Elephas maximus indicus: one gene and its partner. The protein of the gene in region 2 purifies or fractionates together with the protein of the main gene of each other region. This does not show direct contact. Links are inferred from orthologs where the notes say so. Each region holds a gene or a part of one and is shown on either strand. Other genes may lie near its edges.

Region 1 (7,177 bases), on a different chromosome or scaffold from region 2:
CCTCTGTCCATCTCCACTGCTCACACTTTAGTTAACTCACCTCATCTCTGACTACAGTAGGCCCCTAATCTTGTCTACCTCCAATCCAATCCACAGCAGCCAAAGTAATATTTTAAAAAAGTTAACCAGACCTTGTCAATCCCAAACTTAAAGCCTGTCAATACAATGCATCTCAGCATTTTTTCAACCTACAGAAGAGATACTATTTCATCATAATTCAATTCACATATAATACATATGTGTAGTATATATATCAGAAACAAAATCTTCATGAAACTTAAAACCCATTGCCGTCGAGTCAATTCTGACTCAGCGACCCTATAGGACAGAGTAGAACTGCCCCATATGGTATACAAGGAGCAGCTGGTGGATTTGAATTGCCAACCTTTTGGTTAGCAGCCTAGTTCTTAATCACTGTGCCACCAGGGCTCCATCGCCTATAAAGCCCTACATAATCCGGCTTCTGCCTACCTCTTCAACCTCACATTGCACCACTCTTGCCCTGAGCTCACCATGCTCCAGCCACGCTGCCTTTCTTGTTCTTAAATATACCATTTCTCTTTCTCCTCAGGGCCTTCCCGTTTGCTGTATCCTCTCCTTGGAACTCTTTTGCCTCCCCTCATCATCCGCTAGGAAAGCCTGGTGGCGTAGTGGTTAAGAACTATGGCTGCTAACCAAAAGGTTGTCAGTTTGAATCCTCCAGGTGCTCTTTGGAAACCCTATGGGGCAGTTCTACTCTGACCTATAGGGTCACTATGAGTCGGAATCGACTAGACGGCAATGGGTTTGGTGTTTTTTGTTTGGTATCATCCGCTAGCTCCTACTTGTTCAGATCTGGCTCAAATATCAGGCTTTGCCTGACCCCTCAGGCTAAATTATCTCTGACCTGTTATTCCCTTTTAAAAAATCACCCTGTTCCTTTGTTGCCTTATCACAATTTGTAATTATGTGTTGTAATTATGTGTTTGTTTACTTTGCATCCTCTCTAGCACCAGACCATAAACTCTGAAGGCAGTTTGTGCACCACTGTCTTGTTCTCATCTGTCTTAATCACTACTGCACAACTAGTGCCTCACATGGTTCCTGGCCCATAGTGTGTGCTCAAAAAAACATTCATTGAATGAGCTGATAGCTGAAGAACAAATGAAGTAGAGTTGGGGAGATGTGGACAGGGTTTCAGGCAGAGGCAACAAGAATATGTAAATACTTGGAAGAACAGCCTAAGAATTTCAGCTTTGGCTTGAGCATAGAGTCTGGAAAGGCAGGCAGGGGGCCAGATCATGAAGAGCCCAGCAACCCTGTTAAGGAAGGTAGGTTTCTTCTTGAGCCAGTGGGGACTCACTGAAAGGTTCTAAATATGGGAGTGATGTGATTATATTTACCATTCCAAAAGATCACACTGGCTACAGCATAGAGAGCTGGTTAGAAATGGTACAGGCCTAAACTAGAGTAGTGGCAGCAGAAATGGAGAAGAGACTAAACAAATAGATTTGGAAGATATGCAGGAGGTAGAAATGACAGGACTTGGTGATTGCAGAGGGGGTGAAGGGGAGAGAAGAGTTAGGAATGTAGCTTAGGTTTCTGTTCTCCCTGGAGTCATTCGTTAAGGTAAGGTGCAAAGAGACAGATAGGAGGAGGATGAGTTGAGTTGAGGAAAAGCTGAGGTTTGAGGTTTCTCTGGGATATTCAGGTACAGCTGTCAAATAGCCAATTGAATGCATGAGTCAGGAGAAATATTTAGACTTAAGGTATTAATTTGGGAGTCATCAGCAAAGAGATAATTGAAGCTGTGACAGTGAATGAGATAATCCAAGGAAAGAATGTAGGGAGAGAAGACAAGAGAGCTTGAGCCAAATCCCTAACCAGCACCAACATTTTAAGTGGTAGACAAAGAGGGGCCTGGAAAGTAAAAGGGAATTACCAAGAAGTAGGAGGAAAACAAGGAGGTGGGCTGTTTTGGAAGAAGGAGCGAGTGCTCAACAGTGCCAAATGATACCAAGAAGTCAAGTTTGATAAAACTGAAAAGCTTTTGTTAGGTTTAGTGACACAGAGGCTATGGGGGACCTTGATGAGAGAGTAGTTTTAGGCAAGAAGTGGAGGCAGATTGGAGTGGGTTAAAGGATAAGTGGGAGATGGGAAAATGAAGACAGCAAATGCAGGCAGCTGTTTCAAGAAGTTTGTAGGAAGGAGAAGAGAGATAGTGAGGTGGTTGCAGTGGGAGAATTTTGGTAATTGCAAAGGCATTCGACTGTGTGGATCATAACAAACTATGGATAACACTGCGAAGAATGGGAATTCCAGAACACTTAATTGTGCTCATGAGGAACCTTTACATAGATCAAGAGGCAGTTGTTCAGACAGAACAAGGGGATACTGATTGGTTTAAAGTCAGGAAAGGTGTGTGTCAGGGTTGTATTCTTTCACCATACCTATTTAATCTGTATGCTGAACAAATAATACGAGAAGCTGGACTATATGAAGAAGAACGAGGCATCGGGATTAGAGGAAGACTCATTAACAACCTGCGTTATGCAGATGACACAACCTTGCTTGCTGAAAGTGAAGAGGACTCGAAGCACTTACTAATGAAGATCAAAGACCACAGCCTTCAGTATGGATTACACCTCAACATAAAGAAAACAAAAATCTTCACAACTGGACCAATGAGCAGCATCATGATAAACGGAGAATAGATGGAAGTTGTCAAAGATTTCATTTTACTTGGATCCACAATCAACAGCCATGGAAGCAGCAGTCAAGAAATCAAAAGACGCATTGCAGTGGGTCAATCTGCTGCAAAGGACCTCTTCAAAGCGTTGAAGAGCAAAGATGTCACCTTGAGGACTGAGGTGCATCTGACCCAAGCCATGGTATTTTCAGTCACATCATATGCATGTGAAAGCTGGACAATGAATAAGGAAGACCGAAGAAGAGTTGATGCCTTTGAATTGTGGTGTTGGCGAAGAATATTGAACATACCATGGACTGCCAAAAGAACGAACAAATCTGTCTTGGGAGAAGTGCGGCCAGAATGCTCCTTAGAGGCAAGGATGGCGAGACTGCCTCTTACATACTTTGGACATGTTGTCAGGAAGGATCAGTCCCTGGAGAAGGACATCATGCTTGGCAGAGTACAGGGTCAGCGGAAAAGAGGAAGACCCTCAACAAGGTGGATTGACACAGTGGCTGCAACAATGAGCTCAAGCATAACAACGATTGTAAGGATGGCGCAGGATCGGCAGTGTTTCGTTCTGTTGTGCATAGGGTCGCTATGAGTCGGAATCGACTCCACGGCACCTAACAACAACAACAACAACATATTTGTTTTTACATGAAAGAGACCTGAGCACGTTTAGATGCTGATAGGAAGGAGCAAGGGACGAGCTCTGTAGATTTGGTGGCAAGAAGTTAAGAGTGCCCTTTTTTGGTGGCTTCTGTTTACTCTATGAAGTAGGAGGCGGGGTCATTTGCTGAGGGTTAGGAGTCAGAGAAGTACACCTTTGAGAAGAGGGGAGCAAGTTTAAAATGGCCACTGTGGAGAACGGGGGAGGGAGTTGACTAGGGACACCAGTACGGTCGTAGGTTAGCAGGGAGGGCCTGGAAGAAGCTGGGGACCGTGAGTTTACAGTGGCAGCAATCTGTGCATTGAATAGTTTTCTCCAGCAGTGTTTAGCTGCTTGGAGGAAGGCACGGAAAAGGTGGAGAGCTGGACTGATCCAAGGTTGGAATGTTGCCAGGTGGATGCGACAAACCAGGGAACTGAGGCTATTTATTGGCAAGACAGCGGTGAAGTAAAGGACCACGGGGTCTGGTCTAAGCAGAGTGAGGAGTTATCAAAGACAGGTCCTCTATGAGCCAAGCCCTAGGGAAGCTCTGGTACATGTGGAATGGCTTCTGGAAAAGAGATTGAAGAGAGAGCAGAGGAAGGAAGACCTGAGATGGGATAGAAGGGCAGACTCGGGGGCGGGGGAAAGTTGAGCCCGGAATCCTGTGTGAGGGATCGGGGCAGAATAGAAAAGACAAGCTAAAAGGGAATTTTTGGGAGGCAGAAGGAGGGCCTTGAGGGTGGGGTCCCCGCGAGAAGTAAGGCGGGCCCGAGTGAGGAGGCGTGGCCTAGCGCAAATCCCGGGCGAGGGGGCGGAGCCCGGGTAACTGGGTCCCAGCGCCGCTGTGGCTCCGGCTGTCTCAAAGACAGCTCCCTCCTCCCCACCCCCTTTCTCTGGGTCCTTCCCGCCCGCTGCCGCGGAGACCCAGGCTGAGGCTAAGGAGGGCGGTGGAGTTGGGCCCAGGTGGTTCTCCTGCCTCTGTGGCTGGAACATCTTCCAGGGGTGCTGGCTGAGGGCGAGCCCCGCAGCGCGCGGCGCACAAGCGCGCCCCCGGCCACAGCCAGCCCCTCTTCCCTCCCTTCCCCTCCGCCCCCTGGCTCCCGCTGCGGCGGGAGGAAGAACCCTTTCCGACCAGCCAGGAGAGTCCAGATCGATTCCCGTTCGGGGAGAAAGAAGAGACCCACACTCAGATCCAACCGACCGCTCGCCCCAGGGCCACGGAAGTGGCTTGCCACCCAAGGAGAGCCCGCGCCGATCGCAGTCTCCCGACCCTCTCCTAGCCGCTGCCGCATAGACTGCGTTCCCCAGCGGGCCCCCGGCCGGAGCTCACTCCCGCGCTAGGCCCGGGCCGGCGATGCCTGGCACGGCGGCGGCAGTGGCCGCGGCTGCTGCTGCTACTGCCATCACTGCCACCGCTGCTGGCCCGGACCCGGGCCGGGGGCTTGAGTCTCCGCAGTGGGGTTGAGCCCACAGCCCCGCCCCCCGAGCCTGAGGCCGCTGCTCTGCCCGGCGCCGGGCCTCCTCCGCCCGCGCCTCCGCCCCAGGAGCTGGAGCCAAGCGGGGAGCCCGGGCCCCGCGCCCAGGCCCGGACCATGCATGGCCACCGAGCCCCGGGGGGCGCTGGGCCTTCAGAACCTGAACACCCGGCCGCTAACCCCCCCGTCGCTGCTCTGCCGGCCTGTGCCGACTCGTACCTTGGAGTCTCGGAGCCCGGACTGCCGGTGCCCAGGGGCTCAGCCTCGGCTCTCTGCGGCCCCCTGGATTCCCAGCTTGCCGGGCCCTCTGACGCCAGCTCGGGAGCTGCTCCAGGCCCCAGGGTCTTGCCCTGCAGGCCCAGCCCTCAGCACCACCGGGCCCTTCGCTTCTCCTACCACCTGGAGGGCTTGCAGCCCCGGCCTGGTGAGTGATCCAGAGAGCGTGGGAGCCCGGGCCACCGGTCTGGTTCTGGGAGCGAGTTCTTGGTTAGGGGGCCTCTAAGTCTCACCTAAGAGCCAGCCGGCTCACCCCGGCCCTTCAGTTCCCTCAACCTCCTCCCCCTCCCCTTGCCCCTTGGCCTTAAGTTCCATCCTTTCAACCTCTATCCCTTTTTCCTCTCTCTGACCCCTTGCCCCTCAGCGCCCCCCAGCCCCCTTCTTTTCTGTCTGCTGGGGATAATAGGAGAAGGAGCACACCAAGAACAAGGGGCAGTATTGCAAGGAGCGGTTTGGTTCTGGGAACAAGGGAAAAGGAGCCTCCCATTTGCCAAGCACCTACATTGTGCCAGGCACTGGGCTGGGTGCTTTATGTGTGTTCTCATTTAATCTTTGAGCCCCCCGTGAAGTAAGTATTAGCCCTATTTTGCAGATGAGGAAAGTGAGGCTCAGAGAGGTTAAGTAACTTGTCCAAGGTCACACAGCTAGTATGGAGCCAAGATCTGTTTGAGTCCAAAGTCTGTGGTCTTTCCCCTTTCCCGAACTGAAGTTGAAGACCATGAAAGTAATGCCAGTTCTTCTGCTCATGCGATTTTCTCTTGTAGTATTCAGCAGCCCTGGAGAGTGAGTGGGAAAAAAAGGGTGGGATTGGTGGATTGATCCAAGGTTGGGGTTTTGCCAGGTTTGTGTGGTGGGAGAACAAGGAAAGGAGGGAGTTGAAGGTGTTGAGGAGAGAAAGGTGGAAGAGGTGGGCCTTGGGGGTCAAGCTGGAGGGGAGGGATGGGGGGGCTGGTGGGTAGGAAGACAACAGAAATACCAGGTCAAGGGGGCAGAGGCCAGGTATAGTAGAGCTGGAGAACTGTGTGGGCCATGAGATTGTTTGTGAGCAGAAATCAGGTTGCTTGAACTTGGGTTTGCAGAGGTGGAGTAGCTCTAGGTCAGGTTGGGGCCACAGACCACTGCTGGGGGAGGAGTTTGTGCTACACAGACCTGAGTATCTGAGGAGTCCAGAAGGGCTTCCCCAGTGTGGGAACATTGTCATGCGGGCTGAGCGCATATGTACTCTGCTTTCCACTGGGCAAACCCAGGCTAAGCCTCTGTGAGCCTCTCAGGGTCAGAACCCAGGCTCCACAGGTCTTTGGAACTGTGGCCCAGCACCAGATAACAGGAATGAAGCATAAATCATGGACAAGATGTGCCCCTTGCTGCTGCTGTGGCCCTGGGCTAGTCATGAAAACTCCAGGAGTTTTCAGGGGGCTCCCTTTGTGTGGGCTGGAGATACCCAGCTAACAACAGGCGTTTAATGCCCTGCCCTGCATGTTGCTCTTGCAGGCTTTCCAAACTTCCCTTGACAGACACTGATTGTGTGGAGTGTGCTACTTACTTACTTTACTGCAGCACCTTCTTTCAAATGCCAAAACATATGCCACAAGTGCTCACACCTCAGGGCCTTTGCATTTGCTTTTCCCTCTGCCTGGCAGCTCTTCCCCCAGCTCTCCACCTGGCTTGCTCCTCATCTTTCAGATTTCAGTTCATATGTCACCTCCTCCAAGAGACCTTCCCTGACTACTTTAAGTAGGGCCACTTGTGAGTCTTCATTGCAGCTGCCAGCATGTTTCCATCCTTGCACCTAGTGCAGTCTGAAGTTATTTTATTGTATGTATTTACTTGTTTATTGTCTGTCTTTTTCCCACTAGAATGTGAGATCCCTGAGGGCAAGGGGATTGTATGTTTTGTTCACGGTTGTATCCCTAGTGACTAGCACAGGGACTAGGCGCTCAAAAATCCTTGTTGAACGAATGTCTGAACAGATACCAAGAGAGACTACAGTAGACCCTCAGTAACTATTGTTTAAGAGAAGGGCAGCTAGCATAGTGACTAGGCACACAGTAGGTGCTCAATAAATCCTTGTTGAACAAATGTCTGAATGGATACGAAGGG
Region 2 (7,386 bases):
GAACCTTTGCAGTGTGTTCCCAGAGTTCTGGAGCCAGCAGAGGCCCTCCTGCTTGGGCCGTAGGCCTCCCATCAGCTTGCTCCGGCTAACACGCACATCCCATAGAGCCTCTCTGCCCTGCAATTTACCAAACCACAGACTCGGAACTTGCCATCAGTGGAGGAGAGGCAGGAAGGAGGCATGATTCTCAAGTGTAGAGGACTTCCAGAACATATGTGACTTGGGTCCAGCATGTTCTGCCAGCTAACCAGAGCAGAGTGCCTTACCCAGAACACTTGGTCTTCTGGTGTGTGGTGTCCACTGTGAAAGCGCCAGGAGAGGAGGTGAGCCTTAGCCTCAGAGACCACAGTCTCCCCCAACCTGCTCCTCCTGCCTCTGTCGGCATTGCTGAACACTATTATTTAGCACCCTCTCCTTATGTTATACATTAATGACCCCAGTGTATACCTTGATACCACCAGATACTTGTCTTCCTAGTCAAGCCCTGCCAGTCTTAGGGTACATTTGATGAGCAAAACTCACACCCTGGGGAAAAGGCCAGTCAGACCTATGACTGACTGTGTTGCAAGACTTTACCCAATTTGGTTCTCAGTTTTCTCATCTGAAAATGAGAGGGTTGAGTCAGAGAGTCTTTGGGTCCCCGCAAGCTCCAGGATTCGACTGCTTATAACACTTTCTCCCTTAATTGTTTTCCAGAGCCATAGTTCAGAGCTCTGGATGGCCCCAATTGTTCAGTGACATCACTCCCTGCCCAAACATAATGTCATTGATTCCTACATGGGAAGTGGAGATGTCCCAGGAAGCTCTGTGTCCATAAAAAGGGAGGAAATGAACATTTTAAGGGAACTGGATAGATCTTCCTTTGTATTTTTCACATAAAACAAGTTATTATCAATCTTAAAAGCCAAAATCTTTCTTCCTTTTTGCCAGACCATCAATAGCTGCTTTTGAAAAGTATTTACTTAGTCACAATTAGAAACAATAAGTTACTATTTAATGAGTGTTTACTATGTGCCAGGAACTGGGCTATGTGATGCATAGAGATATTCCCATTTAATTCTCCTGACAGCCCTGTGAAGTAGGTATTATAATCCTCGCTTTAAACATGAGGAAACAGAGGCCCAGGAAAGTTAAACAACTTGCCCAAGCTCACGGAGCTTCCAAGTGGCAGAGGAGCTTTGAACAAGACCAGCTAACTCCAGCACCCCATCTCTTCACTACCTCTCGATACTGCCTACAGTGAGTTCCTGGGCACCTTGGCAATGCTCCTGGCTTGCTGCCAGCCTGTCCTGCATCAGTAATCTTAGACACCATTGGTCAGAGCTCAAATTTGATGTTTCACCTGAAATTCACAGCCAGAAATGCAGGTGTCTGGGTCTCAGTGCAGAGAGTGCCATCTGTTAAAAGTAGGGCCAACCTTAACCAAGGACTAGAAGAGAGAAACTTAGCCTGCAACATCTGATAAAAGAGATTAGGAAGACTGACTCGATCAGCCCGACAATGCAGAAACGGACATCTGTCCCCAGAGCAGGGCCACCTGGTTACCCAAGCCCTCCAAAAGAAGCTTTCCTGAATGGCAGTGGGAGACGCTTGCCCAACCAGGTAATACAAAAAGAAGAACTGCCTGACCAAGCCGGGGAACATAACCCTCTGAGAACCTAGCTCTCTGACTGGTGGTGGGACCAGCCTCCAGGTTTACCTCCTCCTCAATCTAAACCCAGCCTCACTGGCTCAACTGTAAAGAAACCCAAGTTTCAGGGGTATTGGTGATAAAGGTAGAAAGAGTAGCCTCAGGCTGAGATTAGTACAAACCCTTCCCCTTCCAACAGAGAATAAAAGGCACTTCAGAGATCAATGTGCAATCTAAGGCAGCAGCCAACAGCCTGTTTTAATTGTTAAAATTAATGCTTTGAGCGTTGTAAATTCCCTCTTTAAATGCCTAATTTGCAAATAAGATGCAGCCCTGCTGTTCCAAAGCCCTCTGTGCTTTGACTGATACCCGGCTGTGTGTCTGTTGCTTCTTTCTCAAGTAAGAGAGCAAAGATGCTCAGACAGGCGACCCCAGGCGTCAAGGACACGGTGTTTACTTCCTAAGGTTCTAAGGATGGGAAGACAGGACCGGCTGAGATGAAAGGGGGACGTGTCACAGACCCCGGAGCTTGGCCCAGTCCACATTAGCCCCTTCTCATTAAGTTTTGGAAAGGCAGCGGGAGGGCCGGCGACCATTCCTCAGAGACCACAGCAAACATTTGCCCCCTCCTGTCTGGAGATGGAGCATCACCTAAGAGGAAATGAACCCGGTTAAGGGTCACGTCCAGAGGAAGGATAAAAGGAAAAGCCACAGTTCTCCTCACGCCGACGGACACAATGACTTTGCGGAGGAAATCAAAGCTCAGTGCTGAGGGTGGAGGTGGGGTAGGGGGTGCAGTGACTTCCTTTTGCCCCCAGACAGAGCCTAGGAAGGCAGAGACCGGAGCAAACGTGGGAGGCAGAGTGAGGCTTCGCCAGAGCCAGCCTCTAAAAGCATCTCGGTCTGCGTGAGCCCGAGTGACCCGAGCCCCAGGGAGGGCCGAGGAAGATGCTTTTCCCAAAGGAGGTTCTCAGGCAGATTCTGACGAATGCGCCCCCGGTTGGGGGGAGGGAGGGTCCTCATTCATCAAAGCTCAGGGGGACAGATGACTTCACCGGTGTAACAGACAAGGGCAGCCACTTGCCAATTCCAATGCCAAAAAAAGAAAACAGGGGGAGTGGAGGAAGGACAGAAAAGGCTTCCCTGGAGATCACAGCCCTGCGAAGAAAATCCACAGACGCGGCTGCCCTATGGGCACTTAGCTCGAGTACTTAGCATGAGCGAGAGGCCACTCGGCGGGGCCTTTCCTGAAGGTCCCAGCCTTCCGCAGGGGTGAGGTGGGGGCACAACTCACGTAGTGCTTGGAGGGGTTCCTCCGCTTCTCCACGTCCACCACCGTGGCATCTTGCACGCAGTAGGCGAGCATCTTCCCCCACAAAGCGAGTGGCGCCCCCCGGCGGCGTCACCTTCTCATCCCGTCCAGGCTCCAGCTACTCCGTTTCCCAAGTCCCCGGGGCCACCCGCCACCCCGGCCCGGCGCGCCGCGCCGCGCCGCTGCCCGGGATCCCAGCGCTCGCAGGTACGGCCCCGGGGGGGGGGGGCGGTCCTGGAGGGCACGCGAGCTCGCTGCGCTCCGGGGGGCTCCCAGTGGGCCTGCCGCGCGCCCCTTGCCGCCCGCGCCGCCTCGCCGCCCGCTCCCCGGCTCGCCCGCTTGGCCGCCCGCGCTCTCCGCCGCCCCGTGGGTCCGGCGGGAACTGGCGGAGCCGAGGAGGGGGTGGGGGTGTGTCCCGCCGGCGGGGGAAGGGGTGGGGGCCCAAGCCCGCTGTCAGCGCGCGGGGAGGGGCCGGCGGCGCCTCTGGGCCGCGCTCGGGCTCCAGGGGGCTCGGCGCTGGCGGAGGCTGAGGGCGCAGGAGGCGGAGGCAGGGCCGGGGCCGGGAGGGGAGGGAAGGGAGGGGAGAGGGGAAGCGCGCAGGGAGGGGCTCCGGGACCGGGGGAGGGGCTCGGGCACGGGGAGGGGGCTGCAGCCCGACCCAGAGGCAGGGGCGGGCCGGCGCGCCCCCATCCGAGCCAAGAGCGCAGCCTGCGGCCTGGCGCGGAGGAAGCACTGGGCTAGTTCTCTGCCACACGAAACCCTGGGTGGCTTCGAAGGGAAGAAGGTTGGGGGGAAGGTCAACCCAGAGCGCCCCCATCCCGGCTCCCGGCGTCTCCAGTTTTTCCATCTTGGAGAAGATATGTGCCTTTTTGCGCCCCCCCCCGCCCATTTGCCCCCCCTCCTACCCCTATCGCCCTGATCTCTTTAATGAAAAGTGGTTTATGACCTTGCTGTTACGGCCCAGGCTCCTGAGGAGGAGATGGGAATGGGGTGAGGGCCAGCGTTAAATCCTTCAAGGCAGAGCCTCTCTTGAGAAAACACCTACGCTTGAGGGTCACAAAGGGTGAATTCTCCTCGGGAATGTGATCGATCCGTTGCCTGAGTCGTCCCTCGATCTGGGCCTGTGTGTAACTAACCTGTGACATCATTTGCCAGTGAGGTTACAAGACTGCATAACACCACTGCTTTAAGCCCAGGACTCCCCAGGGACCCTCCCAGGGTGAGGAGGAAAGGAGCCTACAATGGTAGGAAAATCCACGGGGTTGGGGGCCAGCTTGTCCCCTGCTCCAGCCCTTGGCTTTCTAACCACCCCTTCCCTCTGGTCTTGAAATCCAACTTTCAAAGCCATTTGTTCGAGCTCCCTGGACTTGGAGCATAGTTACTATTTAATTCAATTTAGCTTTTCCCCTCATCTATTTCAACATTTTTTTTTCCATTCTACTTTTAAATATTTAAAGGGGTAGTGTTTTCACAACTAATTCAATGGTTTCACAGTCACAATAAAGCTTTGTGAATGTGGACCAATGTGAAATATCTGAAATGGAGAATAGTCTTCTGACCTAAATGTATTAATATTTTCTTCACTGCCCTGTCAGAATTCAGGCACCAATCTAAGACTTTATTCACTCGTTTGCTTGGTACAGAAAAAAAAAAAAAATTTTTTTTTGAACCCCACTATTCCTCTAGCAAACTCTCTAAAAATCTGACCTCTGCCAATCACTTGAGTTAATGCCACAGGGAGTATTACAGTCACCCTAATGGTCTCATTTGTAAGATGTGGGTGCTGATCTAGATGATCTTTTAAGATGCCTTCCTGCAAACACTCTAAACTCTTAGCAGTACTTACTCCTGGGGATACATTTGTTAAATCTTTGTATTTCATAATTAGCATGCATGCTTGTTGACATTAAAAAAAAAAAAACCCAGTGCCGTCTAGAATTTTAAGAAGCTCTTGTAAATGGACACAGAAATAGTAGAATTTTAAGAATTGGTTGAGCACCTACTATTCTGTGCTTATTTACAAGGCATTACAGAGGAGAAAACATTCAATTAACTGAAAACTGAATCCAGTTGACAGATGTTTGTCTCTTCCCTTAAGGCGCAGACAATCCAGTTGGGAAACAGGGACATCAATAAAACTGAATGTAATGAAACATGCATTCCCAAAACCAAACCAAACCCATTGCCGTTAAGTCGATTCCGACTCATAGTGACCCTATAGGACAGAGTAGAACTGCCCCCATAGGGTTTCCAAGGGCCACCTGGTGGATTCAAACTACTGACATTTTGGTTAGCAGCCATAGCACTTAACCACTACACCACCAGCGTATGCATTAAAAAAAAAAAAAAAAAAAAGCATTAGGACTCCAGAAATAGAGGCTTGGAGGAATCAAGGAGGGCTTCAAGGAGAAGGCTGTCCCTGTGCTGTGCCCTGGAGGATCTGCAAAGTTTGGAGCACCTCTGCCTCCCCTGGTCTCCTCTAGTCCAGCAGCACTTATCCTGAGCTGCTCTGACACCTGTCTGTAATACACATCATTTCCTCTGAAAGCACACAGTGCACAGGGACAGCTGTGTGTTATACTTCTTTGCACTCCTCGAATAGCCAAGCACAGTATCTTATATTCTGTAGTCCCACTAAAAGAATTTGCTGAGTGAAGGAAAGAATGTATGGTCAGGAGGAGAAGAAAAGGCGGAGTGACAAGAAGTCCCATGTATGACCTGACACATGAACAAGTTGGTGATGGACAGAGGACCAGGATGACAGTGTCCACCCGAGGAAAGATCAGGAGAGGGGGTCAGACACATAAGGATGAAATGTAGTTGGATGGGTAGAGGGTCCAGATTGTGAGGCGGCTTGAGCACTAGGCACAGGACTTCTCTATCTGGGAAGAGGATGGAAAACCAGTGCATGGGAGAAAGTGACCTGGCAGTGGGGCTAAGGGATCAGAAGGGGTAGAGACAAGGCACTGCCCCCCTGAGCAAGGCCTTTCTTGGCACAAAGTGGGAGGACCCAGGACAGGCTCTCAGCATGTGCTCCCCTCTGCAAAGGAAGGCCTGGGCTATGGGAACCAGGGAGTGCTCTGACCTATCTTGGACCCATCTCCAAGACATCTCATGATGCTTCGAGGTAGCCTATAGGTTCATAGATGATTCATAAAATGATTCATAATGGCAATCAGCTGCTATCCATTTGTGAATCTCAAAAGTTCTGGAAGCACTAATTAAGCTTGAGAAAGCCTTAGCAAGGGGAGCTGGTGGTTAGCTGTTGGAGGGAAAGAAGAGGAGGCAGATAGCCTACCTTGGGTCCCGTTGTGAGTCAGAGCAATTGGCTCATCTAAGGTGGATATCAGAGGTTTCCCACTCACGCTCCACTTTCTGGACCGGGATCCACACTGAACATGAACTTGAGCAGAAGAAATCTGTAGGCAAGAGGGCTCCATGCTCCCCACTGTCCTGGTAGCACAATGTGTGTGTTTTGGCCTTTGTCCTACCTAAGAAACCCCAGACAACTGGCATAGCTTAAATCCACTATTGTTAAGCACAACTTGAGTACTCCCAGCTTCCTCCCCTACCCCCAGATTACCTCAGTTTTAGGGAGTACCTGAGTGCCCCACATAGTGCCAAGATCTCTAGGTATTAGTTGAACAGAAGTTATTTTTCTCTACTGGGGCCATATGTCCAAGAGACTCTGAGTATAACGTGGTACTGACTCTATCTTCTTCCCTGGGTCCATTTCAGTCTCATGCAGGTTTCCTTCCCATGGTGCTTAGGAATTCCCTTCTGTCCCACAGACATTTATTTAGCACGTGCCTCACTGTGCCTAGCACACATCAAACTGACTGAGACTGGCTGAAGGATCCTTGGAGACAGGAACTGTGTCTCATTGAGCAGTATACTCCCACTATGCCCGGCACATAGTAGGTGTTTTGGTTGGCCTGAGTTGAAAACATCTGCCCTAAAGGAGTTCATAACGACACAGGAGAGGATTAGGTAGACCCCTATTTTACCACCTCCTTCTGAAACAGAGTTGACTCTAATCCGTTTTCAAGCTCAAAGTACAATGTATAAGTTCAAATGACAAAAGAAAACTGTAAAAATACAAATAAATAAATAAAAAGATAAATAAGGCAAGAGGACCCATAATTTATTTTTCAAAATATAATTGCAGACTGCTTCAAATCAGCTGGAAGAGACAAGAGAGGTTATTTATTCCTCTAATTTTACAGAGGGGAAATTGAGGCCCAGAGAAATGTAGCTAGTTACGCCGTGTTATACAGCTACTTAGTCCCAGACCAGCAGACCTTCTCCCCCGGGCTTATGTGCCCGTTCACAAGCTAGAAGAGTTTACTCAAAGAGCACACTTTTAGTGCGTTAACCAACACCTGCACACCCAGACTTTGCTCTCCGCCTGAGCTCTGAGTCTCTCAGTTCCAATTCTCCATCC

The links.
Region 1: the proteins of SH3PXD2A (region 2) and FGD1 purify together in Homo sapiens (affinity purification with mass spectrometry; 3 studies listed by BioGRID and IntAct, with this or other methods). This does not show direct contact. The link is inferred for Elephas maximus indicus from reciprocal best matches to the Homo sapiens genes SH3PXD2A and FGD1.

The regions. Positions count from the first base shown.
Region 1 is NC_064846.1:113,505,676-113,512,852, forward strand, and holds the start of FGD1 (FYVE, RhoGEF and PH domain-containing protein 1), read left to right. Parts: upstream 1-4,167; 5' UTR 4,168-4,918; coding exon 4,919-5,225; intron 5,226-7,177. UniProt on the Homo sapiens protein: Activates CDC42, a member of the Ras-like family of Rho- and Rac proteins, by exchanging bound GDP for free GTP. Plays a role in regulating the actin cytoskeleton and cell shape.
Region 2 is NC_064834.1:55,274,675-55,282,060, forward strand, and holds the start of SH3PXD2A (SH3 and PX domain-containing protein 2A), read right to left. Parts: upstream 3,007-7,386; 5' UTR 2,997-3,006; coding exon 2,925-2,996; intron 1-2,924. UniProt on the Homo sapiens protein: Adapter protein involved in invadopodia and podosome formation, extracellular matrix degradation and invasiveness of some cancer cells. Binds matrix metalloproteinases (ADAMs), NADPH oxidases (NOXs) and phosphoinositides.